4 linked regions of the Coturnix japonica genome follow. The protein of the gene in region 1 interacts with the protein of each later gene in a biochemical or structural test. Links are inferred from orthologs where the notes say so. Each region holds a gene or a part of one and is shown in the gene's direction. Other genes may lie near its edges.

What was found.
Region 2: the proteins of MCM4 (region 1) and CCNA1 form a complex in vitro, tested with the Homo sapiens proteins (2 studies listed by BioGRID and IntAct, with this or other methods). The link is inferred for Coturnix japonica from reciprocal best matches to the Homo sapiens genes MCM4 and CCNA1.
Region 3: of the proteins of MCM4 (region 1) and CDC7, one has a biochemical effect on the other in vitro, tested with the Homo sapiens proteins (2 studies listed by BioGRID). The link is inferred for Coturnix japonica from reciprocal best matches to the Homo sapiens genes MCM4 and CDC7.
Region 4: of the proteins of MCM4 (region 1) and DBF4, one has a biochemical effect on the other in vitro, tested with the Homo sapiens proteins (2 studies listed by BioGRID). The link is inferred for Coturnix japonica from reciprocal best matches to the Homo sapiens genes MCM4 and DBF4.

The regions. Positions count from the first base shown.
Region 1 is NC_029517.1:97,602,897-97,608,317, forward strand, and holds part of MCM4 (DNA replication licensing factor MCM4), read left to right. Parts: intron 1-336; coding exon 337-475; intron 476-919; coding exon 920-1,140; intron 1,141-1,358; coding exon 1,359-1,479; intron 1,480-1,625; coding exon 1,626-1,885; intron 1,886-2,017; coding exon 2,018-2,383; intron 2,384-2,687; coding exon 2,688-2,815; intron 2,816-3,997; coding exon 3,998-4,205; intron 4,206-4,528; coding exon 4,529-4,757; intron 4,758-4,879; coding exon 4,880-5,013; intron 5,014-5,347; coding exon 5,348-5,421. UniProt on the Homo sapiens protein: Acts as a component of the MCM2-7 complex (MCM complex) which is the replicative helicase essential for 'once per cell cycle' DNA replication initiation and elongation in eukaryotic cells.
Region 2 is NC_029516.1:154,340,984-154,346,363, reverse strand, and holds the end of CCNA1 (cyclin-A1), read left to right. Parts: intron 1-48; coding exon 49-272; intron 273-1,032; coding exon 1,033-1,237; intron 1,238-2,027; coding exon 2,028-2,141; intron 2,142-2,721; coding exon 2,722-2,855; intron 2,856-3,192; coding exon 3,193-3,244; 3' UTR 3,245-3,456; downstream 3,457-5,380. UniProt on the Homo sapiens protein: May be involved in the control of the cell cycle at the G1/S (start) and G2/M (mitosis) transitions. May primarily function in the control of the germline meiotic cell cycle and additionally in the control of mitotic cell cycle in some somatic cells.
Region 3 is NC_029523.1:12,593,403-12,599,946, reverse strand, and holds the start of CDC7 (cell division cycle 7-related protein kinase), read left to right. Parts: upstream 1-2,175; 5' UTR 2,176-2,273; intron 2,274-2,628; exon of another isoform or gene 2,629-2,974; intron 2,975-4,451; 5' UTR 4,452-4,458; coding exon 4,459-4,552; intron 4,553-6,544. UniProt on the Homo sapiens protein: Kinase involved in initiation of DNA replication. Phosphorylates critical substrates that regulate the G1/S phase transition and initiation of DNA replication, such as MCM proteins and CLASPIN.
Region 4 is NC_029517.1:18,956,940-18,962,868, forward strand, and holds part of DBF4 (protein DBF4 homolog A), read left to right. Parts: intron 1-476; coding exon 477-655; intron 656-3,816; coding exon 3,817-4,011; intron 4,012-4,997; coding exon 4,998-5,048; intron 5,049-5,606; coding exon 5,607-5,676; intron 5,677-5,806; coding exon 5,807-5,883; intron 5,884-5,929. UniProt on the Homo sapiens protein: Regulatory subunit for CDC7 which activates its kinase activity thereby playing a central role in DNA replication and cell proliferation. Required for progression of S phase.

The DNA.
Region 1 (5,421 bases):
TTTTAACGTCTTATTTTGTAGTAGTCCAAAGGTTTTAGACCTTGTGATAGGTGTCTCCTGCATACAAAATGTTCTGTTAAACTTCATTGTACCAAGTACTGCATTGTGTCTTTTCCTTTTGCAACAGTCAAATAAGTAAATCTGATTTTATGGTAAGTTGCCTGTTATGTAGGAAAACACAGTGTGTTCTCTTTTATTTAGTTTCTTGACATCCCTGGCAGATCAGCAGCACTTTAAAATGTATTACGCAGAAATATCCTGTTAGGCTTCTGGTTTGTTAGCACGTGGGGGGTTTTTTCTCTTCTAAGCTTAACTGTTCCTATCAATTCTACACAGGAAGTTATCCCAACGTTTGACATGGCTGCCAATGAGATCTTTTTTGATCGCTATCCTGATTCCATATTAGAACATCAAATTCAAGTGCGACCATACAATGCACTGAAGACTAGGAATATGAGAAGCCTAAACCCTGAAGGTAAACCTCTAAATTGCCGCGTTAGAAAAACAATCTGAAGGATTTACATAAGTTTATTACATTCTAACACACAATTTATGTATAGACTACTTACAACTGGACTTGTGGTCCATCCATACCAATGTACTTCATTTTGCTTAAGTCTGTTTTGGAATCAAATGCTGTGGAGTCCAAATGGAGAACATATCTCCAAAGGAAGTCTATCTGTCATCAGCTACCCATGTTCTTACTTCTGCAAGAGTAGAAGACTATTCTGTATGAATACTCACTTATATTAGTATATTAGTATTACAGTTATGACAGTTTTTGTTTTGTCTATGACAAAATAGTCATTTCTAACTGGATGTCCACTTCCCACCTAAAAACTAACAGGATGTAGATCTTTGAATGTTATTTTAAATTTAAAGACTGCGATGTGATGACATAAGCATCTGTATTTTGTAGACATTGATCAGCTTATCACCATCAGCGGTATGGTGATCAGGAGCTCCCAATTAATTCCTGAGATGCAAGAAGCATTCTTTAAGTGCCAGGTCTGCGCGTTCACCACAAGAGTAGAAATTGACCGCGGCAGGATTGCTGAACCATCAGTGTGCAGGAACTGTAACACGACGCACAGTATGGCTCTGATTCACAACAGGTCCATGTTTTCTGACAAACAGATGGTACGTTGTGCTTTGATATTGGATAAAATGAAACTTTTTTCCAGTTCTTGTTTCCCATCTCCCCTAATATCATCACAGCATGAAGGTATGCATCTTGAGAAGGAAAGTTCCTAATTGAAAATGATGCAGGAAGCTGTGATAATACAAGATCTTGTATACCTTGTGTACAGCTTTCTTTTTTTTCTTACTTTCGACTTGGTTTTATTTGTTTTTGCTAGATCAAACTGCAGGAATCCCCTGAAGATATGCCAGCCGGACAGACACCTCATACGGTTGCACTGTTTGCTCACAATGACCTTGTTGATAAAGTTCAACCAGGCGATAGAATTAATGTCACAGGTAAAATTTACTTTATTTGCATTTTCCTTTTTAACTGAACTGTAGTAGTTTAATCTATGAGTCTGCTTGTCTGGCAATTGGACGCTTCTTAAGACATATTAGTTAATATGTTTCTTTTATCTAATGCTGTCATTAATTGTATTTAGGCATCTACAGGGCAGTCCCAGTTCGAGTTAATCCGAGGGTCAGTGTTGTAAAATCTGTCTATAAGACCCACATTGATGTCATACATTATCGCAAGACTGATTCAAAACGCCTGCACGGTGTTGATGAGGAAACGGAGCAAAAAATGTTTACAGAAGAACGTGTGGCATTTCTAAAAGAGCTGTCTACTAAAGCAGACATATATGAGAGACTTTCTTCAGCACTGGCCCCAAGTATCTACGAGCATGAAGATATCAAAAAGGTAAAAGGAATTGTGTATTTTGCTTGTAAAACATTTCTGAATTGCAAGTACTCTTTAATTGTTTGCTATACAAATGAGACTTCAAATGAGTTGATATTTTGACTTTAAAGAGCACGTTTGTTTTTTTAACAGGGCATTCTACTTCAGCTCTTTGGAGGATCAAGAAAGGATTTCACTCGCACAGGTAGAGGCAACTTCCGTGCAGAGATCAACATTCTTCTCTGCGGTGATCCCGGCACTAGTAAATCCCAGCTACTCCAGTATGTGTATAACCTGGTTCCTCGAGGCCAGTATACCTCTGGGAAAGGCTCAAGTGCGGTTGGTCTTACTGCATATGTGATGAAGGATCCAGAAACTCGGCAGCTGGTTCTTCAGACAGGCGCTTTAGTACTCAGTGATAATGGCATTTGCTGCATTGATGAGTTTGACAAAATGAATGAAAGCACAAGATCAGTACTTCATGAAGTAATGGAACAACAGACTCTCTCCATTGCAAAGGTTGGTGTCTGCTTAAGTCCAAGTTTTTTGTTCTAAGCATCAGCTCAGGGCAGATGAAACCAAGAAGTTGCCAGAACCAGGGTTGTACTTTTCCGGTGTTGTTAGGATTTCAATCCTAAATTATATAACATCTCGTGCTTATGGACACAGGGCTATCCTTGCATGAACTGTATTATTTCCAGATGCTTTTCTTCTTGCTTTACTCTAGTAGGCTTCTGCAATGAGTTTTTCTATTATGAAACCCTTTAAATGACACTGATCTTATGAAGGTTCTGAATCCAGAACTGCTTTTTCATTTTAACAGGCCGGAATCATTTGTCAACTGAATGCTCGCACATCTATTCTAGCAGCAGCTAACCCAATAGAATCACAATGGAATCCAAAAAAGAATACTATTGAAAACATCCAGCTTCCTCACACACTGTTATCAAGGTACTGAACCCTTCACATGTCTCATGTTTTTTTTACCTGTTGTGAAAAGGATTCAGTATGGTAGAATCAGAATTGCAGCTTCTGCATGAGTGGAGATCTACCTTCTAGTCTATTCATCTTGAACAGAAGATCTGATAAAATCTGTGGATCTTAATCTTTGTTGTGTTCTTTTGTTGGCTTTTTTTTCCTTCCCCCTTGTCTCAAGATCATCCTCTGGAGGAGTTACCTTGAACCTTACAGTAGTTGGTAACTTGAATGGAAACCCAGCATGATTTTCATAACCCTGCACAAGTTTGAAGTGAAACACTGATGATTAGGGAACTTGCACTGGATGTGGTGGACTCTAAAGTTCTGTGCCTGCTTGTTTTCATCCTGTGAAATTCAGTCAGGGAGGGGGCATAGATCTCCTTGGACAGTAGCTGTTAAAACAGCATGTAGCATCTGCAGATGTGAAATTAAGCTATGTACTTTAATTGCATCTGGTGAGCAGTTCCTACACTAATTTAAAGTATATGGATGGTATGCTGGATATTCTGAGAACACCATTTATAGTTCAGAATTCAATGAAAGGCTGCTGACAATGACAGGTAAGTACCTTAGCTGGGATATACCGAAGGAAACTAGGTTTGAGCATGTCTCATTTCTGCCATTTATTGGATTTAAGGTTTTGAAAATACGTGACTAACTAGCTAGAACATTATTATTTACAGTTACCTACAATGTTACCTATTGTGTGCAGAACTAATATTTTGTATTTATTTTAAATGCATATACATCTATATGAATATAGTGAATAGTTATGCACTTTGGTTGCTGCTGCTTTTCAGGGCAGCAGCTCTTACAGTAAGTTTGTTCTGTGTTATTTGTTTAAAACTCCCAAAGAAAAAAGACCAAGTCTGCCTTGAACCAAATTTCACAAAATGTATCTTGTCTTCAAAGTGCATATGTTGAAAGCAAATTCAAACTGATCTGAGGGTTAGACTCGGTGATCTAGCCAGCTGCAGTTCTGTAGTGTTTTGTATTTAAAGGTGTTTGAGGGAAAAGTACTCTTTCAGTTTAAAGAGCACCCTTCATTTGGAGTAGTATCTCCTAAATCTAATTGTGAAGTGAAAAACCATAAAAGAATCAACTTTAAATTGCAGGAAAATATACACGCTCATATTTGATTCTTATTCCGTTCAGGTTTGACTTGATCTTTTTAATGTTGGACCCACGTGATGAAGCCTATGACAGACGTCTTGCTCGCCATTTAGTTTCACTGTACTACCAAAGTGAAGAAAAGCTGGAGGAGGAGTACATGGACATGGCAGTACTGAGGGATTACATTGCCTTTGCTCGCAGTTATATAAATCCCAGGTTAAGTGAGGAAGCAAGCCAAGCCCTTATTGAGGTAAAGTAATTGCTGTTAAGAATGTTCCATGTCTTTGCTGACTTCTCAAAAAGGGCAAAATGCCCAACTATTTCTGTTTCCTACCTATCAAAAACCTCTAAAAATCACAAGCTTTTAAAAGGAGAGAGGGAAGTACTATTAAAGTAATTCTGTATTGTAATCCTTAGGTTACTTTTTGGGGTGTTGACTTGATTTTGTCATGTTTGAAAGTGTGTAGCTTTCCACAGTTGCTGATAGTCAGGGATAGCGCACAAGGGATAAAAGAGACTTGTAAGTTAGGGCAGTAACGGGATTTACTGAAATAGTTAATGCCTGCTTTTCAGGCATATGTGGACATGAGGAAGATTGGAAGTGGCAGGGGAATGGTTTCTGCATATCCTCGACAACTTGAGTCTCTGATCCGACTGGCAGAAGCCCACGCTAAGGTACGCTTTTCTGAGAAAGTTGAAATCATTGATGTAGAAGAAGCAAAACGTCTCCATCGGGAAGCTCTGAAGCAGTCTGCTACTGACCCAAAGACTGGCATTGTGGACATATCCATCCTCACTACAGGTTTGTGTTTTTGTAGTGATAAAACTTAGATGTCTGGGGGCTTTAATCAATTTAAGAAGTAACTTAAACCTTTCCTCTCCAACTTAGTACTAAAAGGTGATTTTTTTTTTTCTTGTTATAAGGAATGAGCGCAACCGCTCGTAAGCGGAAAGAGGAGTTGGCTCAAGCCTTGAGGAAGCTTATCCAGTCCAAAGGTAAAACACCAGCTTTGAAGTATCAGCAGCTTTTTGAGGATCTCCGAGCACAGTCTGACACAGTAAGTCTCCTGCTTTTTTTTTTTTTTTATTTCTCCTTTTTTTACATTCTCCCTTCCAAACCATTATCAACTCATCCTCATATCATGTTGTTAATTTGACTGGAAAGCCAGTTCCACTGCATAAGCTTTGATTTCTGAGTCTTTATCATTTCAGAAGACAAAAAAAAACCCCAACAACTCAGCTACAGGGTTCTGGGCTAGATCTAAATTGCAGAATTCATGTTCAAATTTATGGAGAAGGAACCCTCATAAGAGCAGTGATGGGAAGTAAAGTATTTTGGTTGGTTTTGTTTGTTTCTCTCCATCTTTATTTGAGTTCTCTCTTCTCTTTAAGGCTGTCACTAAGGAGATGTTTGAGGAAGCTCTTCGTGCCTTGGCTGATGATGACTTCTTGACGGTGACTGGAAA
Region 2 (5,380 bases), on another chromosome or scaffold:
ATGTGACTTCAACGGCTGTTCTGTTTCTTAAATTGTCTTTCTAAACAGGTGAAATACAGGCCCAAGCCCTACTACATGAGGAAGCAACCAGATATCACAACAGAAATGCGTGCCATCTTAGTAGACTGGCTGGTGGAAGTAGGGGAAGAATATAAACTTCGAACAGAGACACTGTACTTGGCAGTGAACTACCTGGACAGGTTTCTCTCTTGTATGTCTGTTCTCAGAGGGAAGCTGCAGCTTGTAGGAACAGCGGCAATTCTTCTGGCAGCGTGAGTGTTTATCTCATGAAATCTTAGTGAGATGAACTTATTTTTGGACTTTTAGTTTAATTTGAAGGACTTTAAGCTTGTGGTGGTAGGTAGGTTTTCATGCTGTCCTAAGATGGTGCCCCATCCCTGGAGGCTTTCAAGGTAAGGCTGGATCAGGCCCTGGGCAACCTGTGTTTGTCTCTGCTTATTGCAGGGACTTGAACCAGATGATCTTTAAAGGTTCCTTCTAAGTGTAAGGATTCTAGGGTTCTGTCATTAGCCACTTAACATACTTTAACTCTTGCAAAACTAAGAATTTAATATTCTTTATTAAGGAACTGTAGAGGGAGAACCTTGTAATCATAATACCAGAAGCAAAAACAGTGCTGTATTAAGCCACTAGCCCATAGTAGGTTAAAAGTTGCAATCTGCAATTAAACTTAAACTGCTTTAAATAGGCAGGGTATCCAGCAAAGCCTAAGGGTGCATGGATTTTTGTCTAGAGTGCATGATGTTACTGACATTTTTTCCTTAAGAGTTTTCTTATTCGTCAAGAGTGCTAGTATGAGTGTATGACTATTTAGGCTGATGACTTAGAGAACATCTTTGCCTTCCCACCAATCTGATAATCAAGCCTCTCCTATACTAGGGAAATCTTAAAATAAGACCTCTAAGCCTGTCTTAGAAATGTCATATGCTCACCTTGATGTGGGCCCAGCAGAAAGTTCTGTTACTTTAACTTTTAAGTTCACAAATCTGGCTTTTCTGTTTTTTTTCCCAGGAAATATGAAGAAATCTACCCTCCAGAAGTGGATGAATTTGTGTATATAACAGATGATACATATACAAAGAGGCAGCTGCTAAGAATGGAACACCTGCTTCTCAAGGTTTTGGCTTTTGATCTCACAGTGCCAACCATCAACCAGTTCCTACTTCAGTATATTCACAAGCATGGAGTCTGTTTCAGGACAGAGAATTTTGCAAGGGTATGAATTACCATTCTTTTAAGATAGATTTGTAGGCTGCTACCATCAAAATGCAGGCTTCCGTGCTTCATTATTTCTGGATAAATGCCTGGGAATGCTGAGCTTAGCCTGTGTCTGGTCAACTAGACTATCTTGGCAGCAAGGTCTTAGGAATCCTTTCTTCAAATGAATATGCATGGGAAGCCTGACCTGGACATGATGATTCTTCATGTTGCTGCCCAATGACACAGCATATTCCCACAGAATGCTTGGGGAAACAGTGCTTCAAAATGGTGTGTCACACAAGCTTATAACAAAACCTCTGACTTGCTGCTTAGCTTAAAACATCTGAGATTTGTACAGCACTTATTCAAACAGACGAGATTTGTTTCTTAGGTGCTCATTTAGCCCAGGTCACCAATTAAGTGAGGTTCAACCATGTGAGCAAAATCATCATAGGAAGAGATGATGATGGTGGTGGTGTGTTTTTGTGGGGGCGTTTTGTTAGACAAAACATTGCTGTGATTTTTTTGTAGATAGGTTTAGAAGATTTGATTGGAATTTATGCGAGTCTTGGTTATTTAGGCTTTGACAGATGTGTGATCTTCCTGCTCCTGCTGGATGATGCTGAAAGTCCTGTAAGATCAACAGGACTGGAATACTGCCTACCACTACCTATCAGATATGTAGCTCATGTTTCTTACATAGAACTGAGGACCAACCAATTCAAGTGCTCAGTATATTGGCATAGCTCTACCTGATAGAGCCACTCTATTTGAAAGACTTGTGCTTTTTCTTTTTTTCTGTTAAGTATCTTGCAGAGCTGAGTCTCCTTGAAGCCGATCCTTTTCTGAAGTACCTTCCTTCACAAACTGCTGCAGCAGCCTACTGTCTAGCAAACTATACAGTGAACAAATCATTCTGGGTAAGAATAACTGCATACTGATGTTTAGCTCAATTGTTTTATAACTAGAGACCTGCTGAGAAGTAGGAGTGGCTTCAGATCACGTTACTGTAAAGTCTGAAATGCAAGGATGAGCAGCTTTTTCCAAGCTAATGGCTGTATGTAATTAACAAATGTTAAACTAATCTGAATTATCTTGCCTTCTCCCTGAAATGGAAAGGTCCTTTCTGTTTTCACTTAACATAAGTGTGCACCTTAGGCCTTGTCAGTAGGTAGTCTCAAGTTTCTACCCTAGATAGAATTCAGGGGCTTTTGGGGAGGGGGAGAGAGAGCTGAATGCCACTACACTGAGTGGCAGCTGTAATAGAAATCTTGATAGGCCTGTCAGGTATCTGTGCTTTAGCAGGAAGCAAAATGCAGAAGAAACATAATGAATGCAGTGGACTTAAAGCAGGAGGAAGTTCTTCTCAGACCTGACACCAAGGAAGACTTCCAGTAAATCTGATGGTGGATCTCAAATCTAGAGTGAAAACAGTTCTTGCTTCTATAGAAGCATCTTACCTAAAGTAGAATAACATGTTTTTTTTCCTCCCCTTACCAGCCAGAAACACTTGCTTCATTCACTGGATATTCATTAAGTGAGATTGTGCCTTGCCTGACTGACCTGCATAAGACATGCCTTGATGCTCCGCATTGCCAACTGCAAGCAATTAAGGAGAAATATAAACATCCTAAGTAAGTAACCAAGAAACTAGCATTTCCTCACTTGGGGGTTGTAGGCACAGGATGATTCTGCTTGAGCAACTTGAGTAGTAACTCTTATAGTTCATAAATTCCTTATACTGGACATATTTTGTTGCTGACTTTGAAGCCTTCCTCAGCATCTTGAGGGGAATACTCTTCTGGACAGGAAAGTAGTTGATTCACAGATAGACAAATGTAGTGGATCACGATTCTATTGCAGTATGGCTTGATGGCTTCTTTCCTACTGTGCTTCATCAGAAGGCTCCTTGCAGTACTTTTACATCTGTCACCTAAACTATTAGTTTCATTGGTTGTATTTCTATTCCAGGTACCTGCAGGTATCTCTTCTGGAGCCCCCAGCAGTTCTTCCTCTACGCTAGAGATGGTGGATCCTGGACTTAGGTTTATTTTGTCTCAATGAACAAAGCTGGTCTAACATCTCATAGAGCACTGCTGGTCATGCGTCTGTGATCAGAAGTATTTTTAGCTAGTATTTTTTAATTAGATGTCTTTTTAAAAAAGTATATTAGAACATAGCTCTTAATATAATTGACAGCACTTTTAATAAATGTCTTATTACACTTCCTCTGAATCTTTTGATTCCAGTTAATATATGCAGTAATGGTGCGTGGAAAGGTTTACTTACAAAATCACTGAGATGGGCCTTTAATAGAGCTGGAATGGGTCAAGTGGTAGGTCCTTCAATCCAATACATTCTACACAGATATGGTTGACTACTTCTTATTCTATGACAAGATGATGTGCCCATGAACAGAAACTACTTTCTGGGATTTGTCTGCGGGTGCCAGAACAAGTGGTCTATGAATACTGACGACTGTTGATGCTCAGCTAAAAATTCAACTCCCATTACGGTGTGGTAACACAGGATTTTCTCTGGGGAGGTGGGTGAAAGGGAAACTGAGGCTTTCTAGAGAAACCATCACTCTTAACAGAAAGGAGCAGGCAAAGGGTAGGAAGCTTTCCTTCCCAGTTCTTAACTATCTTATCCTGAGCTCTGTTATCTGTACAGAGAATTATGTTTTGAAGCAAGGATATGCTGAATGCTTGACATTGACATACAGTTCAACAGTTGAAATACTAGTTAACAAGCCTATTGCTTTATAAAACCTGATCATACCAGTGTCTGTGTCGTGAAGCTGTTAGCTTCAAGTGTTTCACTTTCTTTGATAGGCACACAAACTTTCTCCTGCCTCTTCCATGTGTAGGCTCACCAGTCCTGCTAGGGATGTAGACTATACTGTATGTCCCCAAAATGGGGCAGGGGTAATAACTTGATTTTACTTAAACAAAATAACCTGTAAGGGAGGGGAGCACTCAGTTTTGAGCCTGCCCTGTGCAGTTTTTAGTTTCATTGCAAAGCTTGCTAGTAAAATGCATCTGTGTCACACTGACAGATGTGACCAGGTATCCCTTACTGACATCTCTGGTACGCATGTTATGATTGGAGTTAACACTATCAACCTTTTTGCTGCAATAAATTTCACAGCTTATGGGTGAATGGTCTGAAAGGTGGGCTATCTACTGTGCCCATGCATTCAGGCAACTCCTTTAAAGTAGATGGCTAAGGAAAATGGCCAGAAGCAGCGATGTCTAGCTACAGTGTGGAGTGGAGGGTTCCTTGATTCATTGTTTCATAATGGAAAAATAAGTGTACTGTATAGTCCTTCTAAATCTGCCAGCTATGAGTACTGGCTTTTTTAATGGTGTTTCAGGCTGAATATGAACTGTCCTGAAACCTCATGTTAATAAGCCTTAATTCCCTTATGAGGTACTGTTGCTTACTGAATTGCAAGCGCTATAGAGCTGGGTATTTTGGAAGCACTAATGAATGCCTCAAGTGTGAAATTGTTTTCCTAGTGCTCTAGCAGTTGCAGGTATTCATACAGTCATATCAAGCATAACAATGAGGAAGAGTTTCAGTCTGAGGAATTCTGCTACTACGGTCACATCTGATCTTCGTGGGCCAACAGACTTGGTGCATCTAGAGCAACCGGAGCTGAATTCCCCATCTAACTTAGCTGAACGTTTTACTGCATGGTGTCTTCCTAGAGGCCAAGTTTTCCTTTGGTTTTTCTTTTCAGATTTATGTAAATAGAGAAAAGGTGCCATAATTGCATTTAATTTCCCTGAATATTTAATTATCTGGTATATTAACCTGACTGACTGATCAAAACAAGACAAAACACACCATGATCTCTGAAATACACTGTGCTGCACCTTATTGGCTTAAGTGCTTCCATTTTTTTATTTGTTTTTAATCTAAAGGCTAATGGAGGCAAATGTTTAAAAACAAGCAGCAAAAGGTAGCTGAGATGAAGAATCCCTTAATCATGTAGTGTGAATGCAAGCAGAATGGTACGAGGTAGATTAAATTTGGGGGACAGAAGAAACTGATCTCTGTTATCACCTGTGATATGATGGCAACTTGAAGGTTTGTGTTCCATTTTGAGCTTTTTTGCTTTGAATTTACCTGGCTTATTCTTGTACAAATGAGC
Region 3 (6,544 bases), on another chromosome or scaffold:
TTATCAGTTATCTTTTTGGGATCTTTTCTTCGAGACTGAAGCAGTACAAGCACAAGGAGACTTATGCTAGCTTAATTGACCTAGGAAGTGGTTGATAACTGTGTACCGGCATCAACACAGACTATTTTTAAATCTGTCAACAAAAAAAATAATTCATTCACCTGCAGATTCTGGCAGCAGTGGATGAAATCTCACAGCAAAGTTTTGATCCTTTCTTGGAGAGCTCCCAGAGGTTGGCTTTGGCAATAGCTTGTCAGCCTTAAGCAACGTTCTTCTCAGGCCTGGGTTGTCATTTGGCTTCTCATCCTACAGATCCAACCTAGAGATAAAGCCACAAAGAGGAGACAGTTCAGCAGTTTGACTTGAAAAGCATTAGACATGCTGCTTTGTTTGTCATATTTGGCTGACGCAATTTCTTCTCTTTTATTCTGAGAAGTTCTGCCTTAGTACATTGTTAGAACTGGAAATTCAGTGTTGAATGAGAAGATGGAGGCTTCTCTGCCCCAACAGCAAATAAGGAAAGGGATTTCTATTTCCCCAAGCCAGCATAAAAGGAATGTTTCTCATGCTTTAGCAAAGGCACAGAAGCTGTGTTTTTACGTATTTTACATTCATTCTGAAAAAAAAGCAAAATTAGCTAGAGATACTTAAGCAAGAATTAAGGAAATGGAGCAGAAACAGTATACATAATCTATCATTATTTTGTTAAGATGTACATGAAGAAAAGTTGCCTTAATGAAGGGGTGAATTTTGGGAAGATATTTTTATGAGAGCCACACTCAGCTTGACTGAACTTCTCCCTTAAGCAGATGAGAAGCTAGGACATAAAAAGCACTTTTAGAGAGATAAATGAAGGATAACATCCAGGCTGGCATTTCTGGCAGACTAAGAAGAGTAGGACAATAAAATAAGAGACAATATCACATTTTGCAAGTGCAGTTATGCTTGTGAGAACAAATACATATAAATTTGACATAACAGAGAAGCTGAAACAATGGAAAGACAGCACAAAGGAGCACAATGCATTTACATCAATATGAAAGGAGGAAATGGAGAGGGAACAAGAGATCAAGGTAGACAAATGATGAGGGTCTAAATGAAAAGGATTTTAGGTGCTGGAAGGAAGAAAACAGGTATCACAGAGAAAGAAACCACAGCCATATAGAATCTATTTTGGAAGATAAAATGAAAGGGATTTCTCACTGCCCGTGAATGTAAGCTAAGTGGTAGGGAGAAAGATAGTATCAATATTGCTAACAGGAATGCCAAGAATGGAAGCCTCATAGAAGGGGTGATGGTTCGGTACATAGACCCTCACAGCACAAAAGCAGACAGCGCAAGAGGCAGGCTGCAATTCTGACCTGGCCATGAGGCAGCAGAACCGAAGACACAGCTCATATGTAATCACACACTATTTTGCAAATCTTAATTTGAAAACTATGGCAATGCAGTGCAAAGGAGTGTTCAATGTTTCTGACTTCTAGAAGATTACAAGGGCAAAAGGGAGAGCAGAATTTATCTGTCGTAGTTTTGTCATTATCCTTATCATTATGTTTGCTATAATCTGCTCTTAAATACCCTCAGCCATAACCTGTTAAGCCTGACTGTATTTAACTGAGCAAAATCTCTGAGCACGAGCTGCTGCGCTGCTTTGAGAGCTCTAACAGAAAGTGCCAACTAAAACTGCTGGGGGGGGGGGAAACAAAGCACAAAAGCAGCTTAGCGACGTGTTCGGGCACCCGCTTTCGATCCCGTGTAACAGGGCTTGTTTTTCACCTCAAAATAACGACCACAAGTCTGGATAAAAGAGAAAAGGAAAAAAAAAACCACAAAAACAACAACGTACATGGAGTAGCCTCGCTCCATGCTCCTCGCAGACTTTGAAGAACGGAGCTGAATTGATGGCAGATCTGAAAAGAACCAGATCTTACCCGGGGCTGGCAATTATTTCGCATTAACCCCATGTGGAGAGAACCAGAATGAGGCGGGCCGTTACCGCACACGGACACCCTGCAGCCCACACGGGCACAGTGCACAGCACGGCCCGGCGCCACACAGCGCGGGCGGCGTGAGGGAGCGCAGCTCACTGACACCACAGCACAACAAGCCCTCAGCCCGCCAGCCCCGCCAACGGCCAATAGCAGCGCTCCTCCCTGCGGCCCGCCGTCCCATTGGCCGCGACCGCGGCTTCCACCGAGGGCCGGGATTGGTCGCTGAGGGGCGGTCGGCAAAAGGCGGCAGCGGGCAAAATTCCGGCGCGTCGCGGCGGCCGCGTGAGTGACTGAGAGAGTGAGAGAGTGAGTCCGTGAGTCCCCGAGTCCCGCGTGTCCCCGAGCCCCTCGCGCCCCATTCCCCGCCGCACCGCGGCCGGCCCCGCGCAGCTCCTCGTTATCATCGGCGGGGCTTGCTCGTCCCCCGCCTCCTCCGCGGTCCCTCGGCGCTTCCCCTGCAGCCCGTCCCCGAGGGAGGGCCCCGCTCTGCGCCGGGCCGGGTCGATACCCACGCACGATCCCGTCAGGACAAGGCGGGCCGGGCGGCCCCGCTTCTCCGGGCCCTGTAGCGCCCCGCGGGGTCCGGCCCCGTTTCCCGCACGGCGCATGCCCTGCAGCTCCCGCCCGCCGCTATCGGTGCCCACAGGGCGGTGTGAGTGTGTCCGAGCGGAGCTTGGCTGCGTGGGCAGCGCGTAACGCCGAGCCGCTGTGACACGGTGCGGGTGTTTGTTGGCCCTTTGTCTGCGGGAACCGGCGGGATCGAGCTCGTGTCCTGTTTGCGCGGCTCCTCGTGCGCTCACGGCGCTGCTCGAGTCGTGTTGCTGCCGGTGGCTGTGTGGCAGTTGATGCTGCAGCCCAGCACAGCCGCTGAGCGCTCCGGACCTGGAGGTTTATGAGCCCTATGGGCCGCCACCGCCTGTGTCTCGCTTATTTCCGTGCCATGGAGAGCTGCTTGTCTGGGATGGGAGCTGGGACAACCGCGGGTGACTTGAGCTGAAACTTTGCATCACATCCGTCTTCCTCTTTTTTTCTCTCAGATGATCCGCTTTGGATATTTCCTAACATAAAAACTAGATGCTTGACTTGATCAAACTCCATCAGGTTCAGTTTTATAACCACGAGGCCCGCTTCCAAGTTTGTAAACTGTGTTAAAATATATTGAGGTATTCCAGGCATTCAGTTCTGCAGCCATCAGAACCTGTTTGACACAAAGTAATGGAAGGGGCACCCTGAGTTACTGAGCCCCCTCCACCCTGCCCATATTCCTGAGGTCCTGCAGGCTGAGCAGCTTTGCTTCCAGCTTTCTGAACAGGCAGGTTCTGGAGCTGGGGCTGGTTGCAGTGAGCACTGCTGTGTGCTGATGGGCTCTCCTTGCTCTGCTGATGAGGCCATGCTCAGTGCATTCCTTGCTCCGCTAATGAGGCTGTGCCATGACAGGTTTGGAACAGGCTTGTCTGCCTGGTCAGCACTAGCAGGGCAGTGCCTACCTGTGAAAGGCTGCAGTGCCACCTCACTGCATAAGTCTCTCAAGTTGTGCTCTCCAGCAAAGTTCTCTCGCAGAAAGAGGCTGTTGTCTGTCCCCATTGTGCTGCGTGAGAATGACAGAATAAAGGTAGCCAGGATTCTCCGGGGACAAAGTGTATTTCTAGCTCACTGAAATAGATGAATCCTTTCATCTGGGAGTTTTTCAAAACACATTCCCCCCCGTTGTAGAAAAGTTCAGGCAGAACTTTGTGGGCTCGGCAAAGGTACAAGCAAGGAAGATCCTCGAGCAGAAAATGGTGCCACTGTGAGAGGCGGTGGTGCTGAGCTCCCTTGTCACTGTTTGTCCTTTCCGGGTGCTCCACGTCTCTTTTCTTCACGAAATAGGATTATCTTTTTTATAACTGTACATTAGTACAATAAGTTACACCTTTTCTTACAAGACTTGGGAAGAAGCATTTCAAAATAAATATGCTCTGTTACTTCTTTTATGAGGGATTAGACCAAATAACGATGCTTTTGGGTTATGTTCTAGAAGAGGGAGAAATTTCACACATTGAGATTTTCTCCTATACGTTTTCAGGTTCTCTGTCTTTGTAGGGGTGCTGCAGCGTACGATGCAGCTAATGCCATGTGGACTGGTTCCTCACTTTTCAAAGCAAACTTAAGGAAAAAGAGCTTTAACATGAATGAGCAAACACTGCCAGATAAAAGAAAATCATTTGTCTCTAACCATATCCTGCTTTCTTCCTTCTTTTCTTTCTTCTTGCCTTTTACTGGGGATCAAGTGGGTTTACTGGTTTGATTTTTCTCTGGGATGGTAGATGCCTTGTGACTCTAGGCAGCACAGAGGAACTCCTCATTCTTTGCATCTCATTTTGGAAACCGAGTGCAGGGCAATGAAATGTATTATCAGGTGTGTTTGCTCCCTCAAGTGTCCAGAAGTGGTTTTCAAGGTCTTGGATGTTTTTTCTTTAGTTTTGTGATGGAGACAGAGTCAAAGTCGCACTGTGATGAACAGCACCCTCATCAGGCTGAAGACACAAGCAGAAAGCATGTGCAGAACAGCAAGCTTTCAGGTGCGTGCTAAAGCAAGGACTGCTAACAATACGTTTTGGTGTTGATGTGCTTCTTCATCACTACAGGAAGTTTCAACATCAATTATCATATTGTATAAAGATTCGATGAACTGAGAACATTTGAAATCGCTGTTGACATAAATTATTTCTGCTTTCCATGTGGCTACAAAAGTTCATCAGCAGTAGTTTGTCACAATTCCTTTATCCTATTTATTGATTACCTAATATATTATCTTAAGGGATAATAGAATTCCAAAAGGGACTTCTTGAAGATAAAATTCCCTTACCAGACAATGTCTCAACAATAATATTTTGCCTTTCAACATGTAATAACCAGCCTTGGCCTTAAATATCTGTAGATGTGTTGGTGTGCACAAGCACACTGTTCTTGGTCATGCAAGAGAAGCTTAACTACAGACACGTACGTTTTGTTACTGCTTTTATTTTGTCTGTTTATGACTTCTTAAATCTGGGTGTTCTGTACACAGGCACCATCCTTGCTCAGTAATTGCTGGTGGTCAGACAGTTTATATATAATGGCTACTGATTTTCCCAGAAATAGACCTCTGTCATTTGCTACACATCCGTGTCCAGAATTAGAGCAGTGCTGAATAGCATTTAATGTCTCACTTTGCAAATGCTTTTCATACCGGGAAGTAAATAAATTATTTTAAAGTCTCACAGAAAATGTTGCAAAGAATTTCTGCATTTTTAAATTGTGTTTGGGCAGCAATGGGGCGAGCACTGTGCCCAGCTGGGGATTTAGGCTCCTGGAAGAGAACAGATGATGTTCATGCTGCTATCAGCAAGGACAGTCAGCATTCGTTTCATTTTGGGATCTTTCACATGTAAAGCTATGTTGACTTGCTAAATCCTCTCAGTGCCTGGGGTATGTACACCTCTGGCCTAGGATCACTCAGTGGTTAGAGCTCTGATAACGTTCAGCTCTTTCAACTCAGTTGCACAAAACCAAGTAGCTGGCAGATTGTATTGCAGCTTTTTGTTATTGTTACTATCTACCGTAGGGCCATTGGTCCGGTGACAATGTAAAGTCAGCTTAAAGTCTGAGCTGCTAGTGTCTGAAGACTTAAAAGATGTGTGATTCAAGTCCTCATTGGAGTCATTAGCATTTTGCCAAGGTTAAGTCCTTTTTTCCAACCAGACAATTTTACTGGAGCAGTTCCAGTGCAAATTCTGTGTAATCAGTAAGAACTGGAGCTTAAGCTCCTCTTTTCAGAAGTCAAACTCATATATGAGCGCTGGAACAGAGCTGCAGGTTGCTTCATTTGGAGCAGGTTGCATAGCAATCTAGTTCTAAACGAGGCAGTTCTGACAGAGCTGTTAAGAACCGTTTCAGCATTTCAAACCATTTTCTATGTCTGTCCTATTGCACACGGCCTTTAGACAGGAAGGTCTTCTAGGAGATTTTAGAACTAATAACGTTACTATCCAGTTGAGTGGTGAGGCCCATGTTTTACCAATCCATGCTTTGTTACAAGCATATTGGTGATACTCCGAAAGTAATTCTCATCACTTATAACTTCATGTTCAGGTAAAACATGGTACGCTTATGTATACAGTACAATTTATATGTTTGTGAAATTGAATTTGTTACTCATTTTTAGGATGAAAATGATAAACTTTTGTTTTTTTTTCCATTCGATGTATTTTCCAAATAGCATTTTTTTCATACTTCTGCATAATCAAATGTTCTTTAGCCCTGCTTCATACTCAGCTTCAAGAGAAATAGAGAACAATTAAAATAGAAGTATTCAGGAACTGAATGTAAAACTAAGTTTTGAAAGGAATGCAGTACAACATCCTTGTCCTGCCATCTAGTGATTGCAGCACAAAGTACAATAATTTAAATGCAAAGCAAATAATGCTTTTTGGTATTTACTATTGTAACAGTGTAAGGGACTCTATTAATGATCTTAATAATAATTTTCCTACAGTTCTGATTCTTGGTTTGCATCTCATGGATATGCTCTT
Region 4 (5,929 bases), about 79 Mb from region 1:
CTCAGATGGGTGCTCAAAAATTAGATAAACAGGGGGATCTTCCTATTTTTTTAATGTTACACTGGCTTTTGATTTGTTTTTGTTCTGTTGCTTCTATACGAATCTTCCTTTTTTCCTAGTTGAAAAGGAGAGAGGCTGTTCTTTTTCCTCCTAAATAGTGTTCTTGTGATAATCACTGTCTGTACAAGTAGTGTATGTGCTGTGGGGATGGAAAATGCTTAACAAAGAGGATGAGAAAATGGATGGCATTGTATGGCAACTGAAATAAAAAGTCCATTTTAGTGCATGATTTAAAAAAAAAACACTTTTAAGAGCTCTTTGTTATTATATATGTCTTGTTTTTGACATGTTTAACATGTAGCTCTTTAATAAATGTCTTTTATTACATGGAAGCTTAACTTCTTTCATATTTAAAAAGAGGAGAACCCACATTTTGTAGAATATAATTCTTCTAAAATTGTCTTCTCTTTTGGCAGCAGATGAAATGCAAGCAAAAACAGAAAAGGTAAAATCTTCTCTGAAGAATGTGAAAAAAGAAGTAGGAAAAGCAGAGAAACTGAAATATAAACCACTCACTGGGAAAGTGTTTTACCTCGATATTCCATCAAATGTGATCTCCGAAAAAATAGGGAAGGATCTTAAAGAATTAGGAGGGGTAAGTTCATGTTCAAAGTGCCCAATGAAACTGAAAGAAAACCTGCAGCTGGGATGTCTCTCCATGTACTGTGCTGCTGTGTTTTAATGTTACATTTATTTTAGATGTGAAGGGATTTTATTTTTTTCATGTCATTTTAGTGTTTAGTATAGATCATCGGCTTATCAAGAAGTTGGTTTTGTGGGGTTTTTGTTTTTACTAGGAGCTGTTCTTCTGTGTGTAGCAGAAGTTTTTATCACAGAGGTTCATTTTCAGCTGATGGTTCGTTTACTTAGTTTTTTATCCAAGTGCTGTAAGTTTGTGTTTGAAGCAAAGTGTTTCTGCAACCTTGGAGTATTTTGACACATGTAAACATGTTATAGCTAAAGTTCTTCTGATGAACCCGAAAGAGGTTAGAGGAAGTGTTTTGCATATGTTTATGGAAAGTCTCGTGTTCTTTTAGCTTGGTTTGGGGTATTTGTTAAGGTTGTCTTTTACTTGAATGATCTGATGGAGTTTGTATGCATTTAATCGAATCATATATAAGATAGCATTTCTTAGATTTTCTAATACATTTTGTGTTTAGAGGCTACTTAACTAAAAGTATAATGGGAAAGTGGTTTGGCTTATTTTTTTTTCTCAAGTACGGGCTGAGGCTTATAAAGGCTGAGCTGGAGTACTGTCACCTAGCAGAGGGAGGAGATCTACACCTCTCTTGGCATTCAGGGCAGGTTGTGGAGGAAGAACCGAAGAAAGAACTTCAGTGCAGTTGTTGGGCCCAAAAGGATGTAGAGGGAAACAAAAAGTTTTGAGAGATTGGCAGCAGAACATCAACTCCTCAGTGTCATGGTTGAAATGTGAGCTGAATAGAGCAGGGGAGTTAGGAAACAGGACCAAAGCAGTATGAGATGAGGTTTGAAAAACAAACGAACAAAAAACTCAACAACCCCACACTGACTTCTTGCATATTTTTTTCCTTTTTTTTTTTTTTTTTCTTTAATTCTTTTAAGGCATTTAGTTTTTAAAAGGTTCTCTGGAGTTCTTTAAACAAAGATTTGTATAGCTAATTTCACTTACATTCTGGATTTTAACCTTAATGTTTTTAAGTACTCGTCTTTCTACCGTGTGCAAACAGCCGTGAGAGCCACTATTTTAAGAGCAATACTTCGTCCAGTTCTGGTGGCATTATCACAAGAATGGCCGATAAGGCTGGGGTGCGGTGAGGAGCTGCAGCAGGAAATTCAAATGCTCTGTAATGTCAGCTGAGATGATCAGCTCCAGCACTGGAACAGGCTGCTCAGAGAGCTGCTGGAGTCTCCTCTGGAGATGGAGATATTCAAAGCCAGCAAGAAATTTTGGTGGTTAAAGTTGTGTAATACTTTCATAGTCAGGTTTTTACATTTCAGCCTTAGCATTTTACCTCAGTAAGACATTTCAGTAAATGCTTTCTGCTTAGAGTATGCTAATGAAAATTAAGTATTAATGTTTAAATTGTAAATTCTGTAAGCATCTTGTTAATAGTTTGTTTCTGCAAATTCTCTCTTTTGTGTGTGTGGGGGGAAGAAAGTATTTGATAAAAGCAAGTGAAATGTGAGCAGTGTAAGTACTTGGGCCACTTTGAAGTTGAATATTTGGAATTAGTTTAAGGGTATTGTGGTAATACAAGTATAAAATTTCCTTTAGCCAGTGTAGAAAAAAGGAACTACTTAAATTGCAAATTGTCTTGAGTGTTATTTTGGCAGGAGTTTTTGGTTATTTTTACTAGAGGAGTGCTGAGCAGTTGTATGAAATGAATTTCAGACAGCATCCTGACTAGTATCAAAGTCAGTAAGTTGCCATAATAAGATTTCAGGTTACAGATATCTCTACATTCAGCACTGAACTAGAGTATTTTATCTTTAGAGCAGAATTTTAGGAATTCATTTGTAAGCAGTAAGGTTGCAAGTCTAAGACTGAAAATAAAGCTTTTCTGTTTTATTCTGGGGAGTATGTGCATAAATCCTCAGATTTAGGCCCAGTGCCCTCAGGGTCACCTTCCACGTGTTTCTTTGTTGCTTCTGTGGGGTGCACTCAGAAACCTCCGTGTCCCATTTCTGTAAAGTTTGTAGAGAAGAATGAGAAGGTGCAGTTTCAAACTTGCTGGCTCTGATTTTTGCTTTCCACACTGATTAGTAGAGAAGATAAAAAGACTTTAAGCTACATAAGCTAGCAAGAAATCATTAGCCAAATAAAACTGATAACAGTACAATGGCAGGTAGTGAAAGATTGAAGGAGCAAAACAGAAGAGAATGAACATGGGGAAAACTTAAGTTTTTTTTCAGTGAGTTTGAAAATGCTATTAACCTATTCAAGCTAATACATTTCACAGGAGTGTTATGAATACTGTAGGTGTGAAATGGGGTAACTATCTTGAAAACTCAGTTTTCAGGCAATAAACAGGACCCAAGGAAGTGGCCACAAGTTGTATCAGATGAGGTTTAGACTGGACATAAGGAGGAACTTTTTTCCTCAGAGAGTGGTCAGGCACTGGAATAACCTGCCCAGGGAGGTGGTGGAGTTGCCATCCCTGGCAGTGTTCAAGAAGCATCTGGATAGGGAGCTAGGAGACATAGTTTAGGGGTTTTCTGTAGGTATGGTAAAGGGAAGATAGTTGGACTAGATGATCTTATAGGTCCTTTCCAACCTTGTGATTCTATGATTCTGTGGCTTCTGAAGTTCATTGTTAAATCTCCTTGTAAACTGTAAATTATGTTTGCATGTGCATCTTTGAGCTAAGTTTAGCTGAACACTTGGTAACTTCTGTTAAATTACATAAAATTTGGCTTCCTTTGACTTATTCTGTAATTTCTCAGTGTGCCAAGTTCTTCTGTATGGAAGGTATTACAGCTCAATTCATCAAGGAATGGTAATAATCAAAATAAAGCAAAGTTGCTTTTTTGGTTGGGATTAGAAAATCGGAGAAGTGAAACTAGGGTTTGTCACTGGTAAGATCTTACTACGGTTCAGTTGTTGTTGTCATGTATATATTTTAAATGTCTTCCTGATAATTCTGTTTTATGTGCGTAATAGTGGATTTGTTTAGTTGTAGTTTTATCACTTTTTTTTCAGTGCACACAAAGCAAAAAGGGAATTACTACTTTGCTGTCCTGAAGTAACATCGTGCTTTATTTATTTTTATTTAGAGAGTGGAGAGTTTTCTTAGCAAAGATATCAGCTATCTCGTGTCCAGTAAAAAGGAGGCAAAATTTGCACCAGCACTTAGTCAGATTTCTCCAGCTCCCAGCCCGGAATCTGTGTGCAGTGGAGGAAATGGTACAACTCATCCCAGCGGCCGAAAAGATCGACAGGATGGAAATTCATTTAAGGCAGCAGATGCAGTAAGTTTCTATTGTAATAATGCTGTAAAACGACTACAACCTGGGAGATGCGCTATCAGAATTTTTCTCCTGTCTTGTTTTCTAATGCTGTTAATGCAAATAGCCACAGAAGTAGTTTTTGATGGTATCACAGTATCACAGTCTTGTGCGGGTTGGAAGGGACCTTAGAGATCATCGAGTCCAACCCCCGGGATTCGAGCCTCTGTGTAGCAGAGCGGCACTTCTACCACTTGCGCCACAGGGGGGATTCGAACCCAGGGCCTCCGGTGTTGCAAAGTGGCGTCCTTAGTAGTTCAATAAAATAATTGCAATTGAACATTATCAGGTTTAGTTTGTTTGGGTGTTTTTTTTTCTTTTAGTTCTTAGATGATTGTGTTAATTTCAGCAGTTTCTGAGTTTCTGCAGGTTTACTTGAAGTCTGTTTCACTGTCAAGTTTAGTTCCCTTTCTATCCTAACTGTATCCTTGATACTTATTTAGAAATGTATGTGTGGGACAGTCTGCAGGTTGGTCTTTGCACTGGGTGCCTGAGGTCACCCCATCTTGACAATCATGTGGATAGGTGAAGGCACGTTCATTATGAATGTACAGAATATAGTATAAAAGAAAAGGTGGTGATAATTATGGCTCAGGCTATAGTTACATTCATGGCTGGTAGCTAAATTTAGCACAAGGTCAATTGATGACACCTCATCTTTTGGTGTATCCCGCAGGCTGCCCGTTCGTACCATCTGTCTTGATCCAGCACTTGACATTGCTTCAGCCGTTCAGTGACCTGCTTTGGTTGAAAAGTACTTTGTCTTTTTTCCCCTCAGAATGTATGAACCCCAGCCTTGTATGAAAAATGAAAATTAATGAAAAATAACTGAAATAAACCAAAGGAGATGATCACAGACTTTTGCTAATAAAAATTTTTAAATTTGCTTTACCTTTTACTTTCTGAAATGAAATCTAACTTGCTACGAATGTCTTTCTGTTATAATATAGGTACGTTTGAGCAGAGGAAAATCCTTAGCTGAAAAAGCAATCAGAGAGCAGGTAAGTTGAGTAATCCATACATTTGTACTTGAGGAATTTTGGTCCTGTGGTTCTGGAAAACAAGCACTAGTAAGAATGATGGTGGGTCTAAGACGGAGGTGTCTCATGGGATGTTCAGGCAGGAATTGGGGAATTGTTCTAAGCATAACTGTCAGATGATGTTTTCTGGGTAGTTCCTGAAGAGCTGAATGTCTTATAGTCTTATAATCGGTATTATATTTTATCAAGGTTGTAATTGTATCTAGCATTTGAGAAGTGCTTGTGAAATTATATGTACAAATCCATTGTCTTCAAGTATTGCATACTATAAAGTATGACAGTAGAGAAGGCTCTTGGCTTTGTGAGATGTTAACTGTAATCCTTTGATAAGTGAAGTGCAGTGACATGGAGATGGAAAAGTCAGTTGAGGATATTTGTAAGTATTTTGGCAAGAAGTAAATAGTCTACAGTCAGATCTCAGCTTTCATAAGATAGTTCTTATTACAAGATGTAGTATATTGATATTTATGACAGTTTATTTGATCTACTGCTGAAAATGAGAATTTTTTCTTTTCACAGGAACTAATCCCCTCTGGTAGCATACTGTCCAATGCTTTGAACTGGGGTGTGAAAGTACTTCATGTTGATGGTAAATAGCTTTGGTGAAGCATTAATTGAACGTTTTCTTTAAACTTCTTTGAGTTATAAATATTAAAAATGATGAATAACTTCAAACATGCAAAAATAAATTCAGCTAAATATAATTTTCTCTTTACTAGATGTTAAGCATTACATTGAACAAAAGAAGAAGGAGCTCTACCTAATCAAAAGCACAGGCAGTTCTTTCAAAGATGTGGTAAGTGGGTTTTAGCCATTTGTAAAAGCTAATGTGATTAAATGAT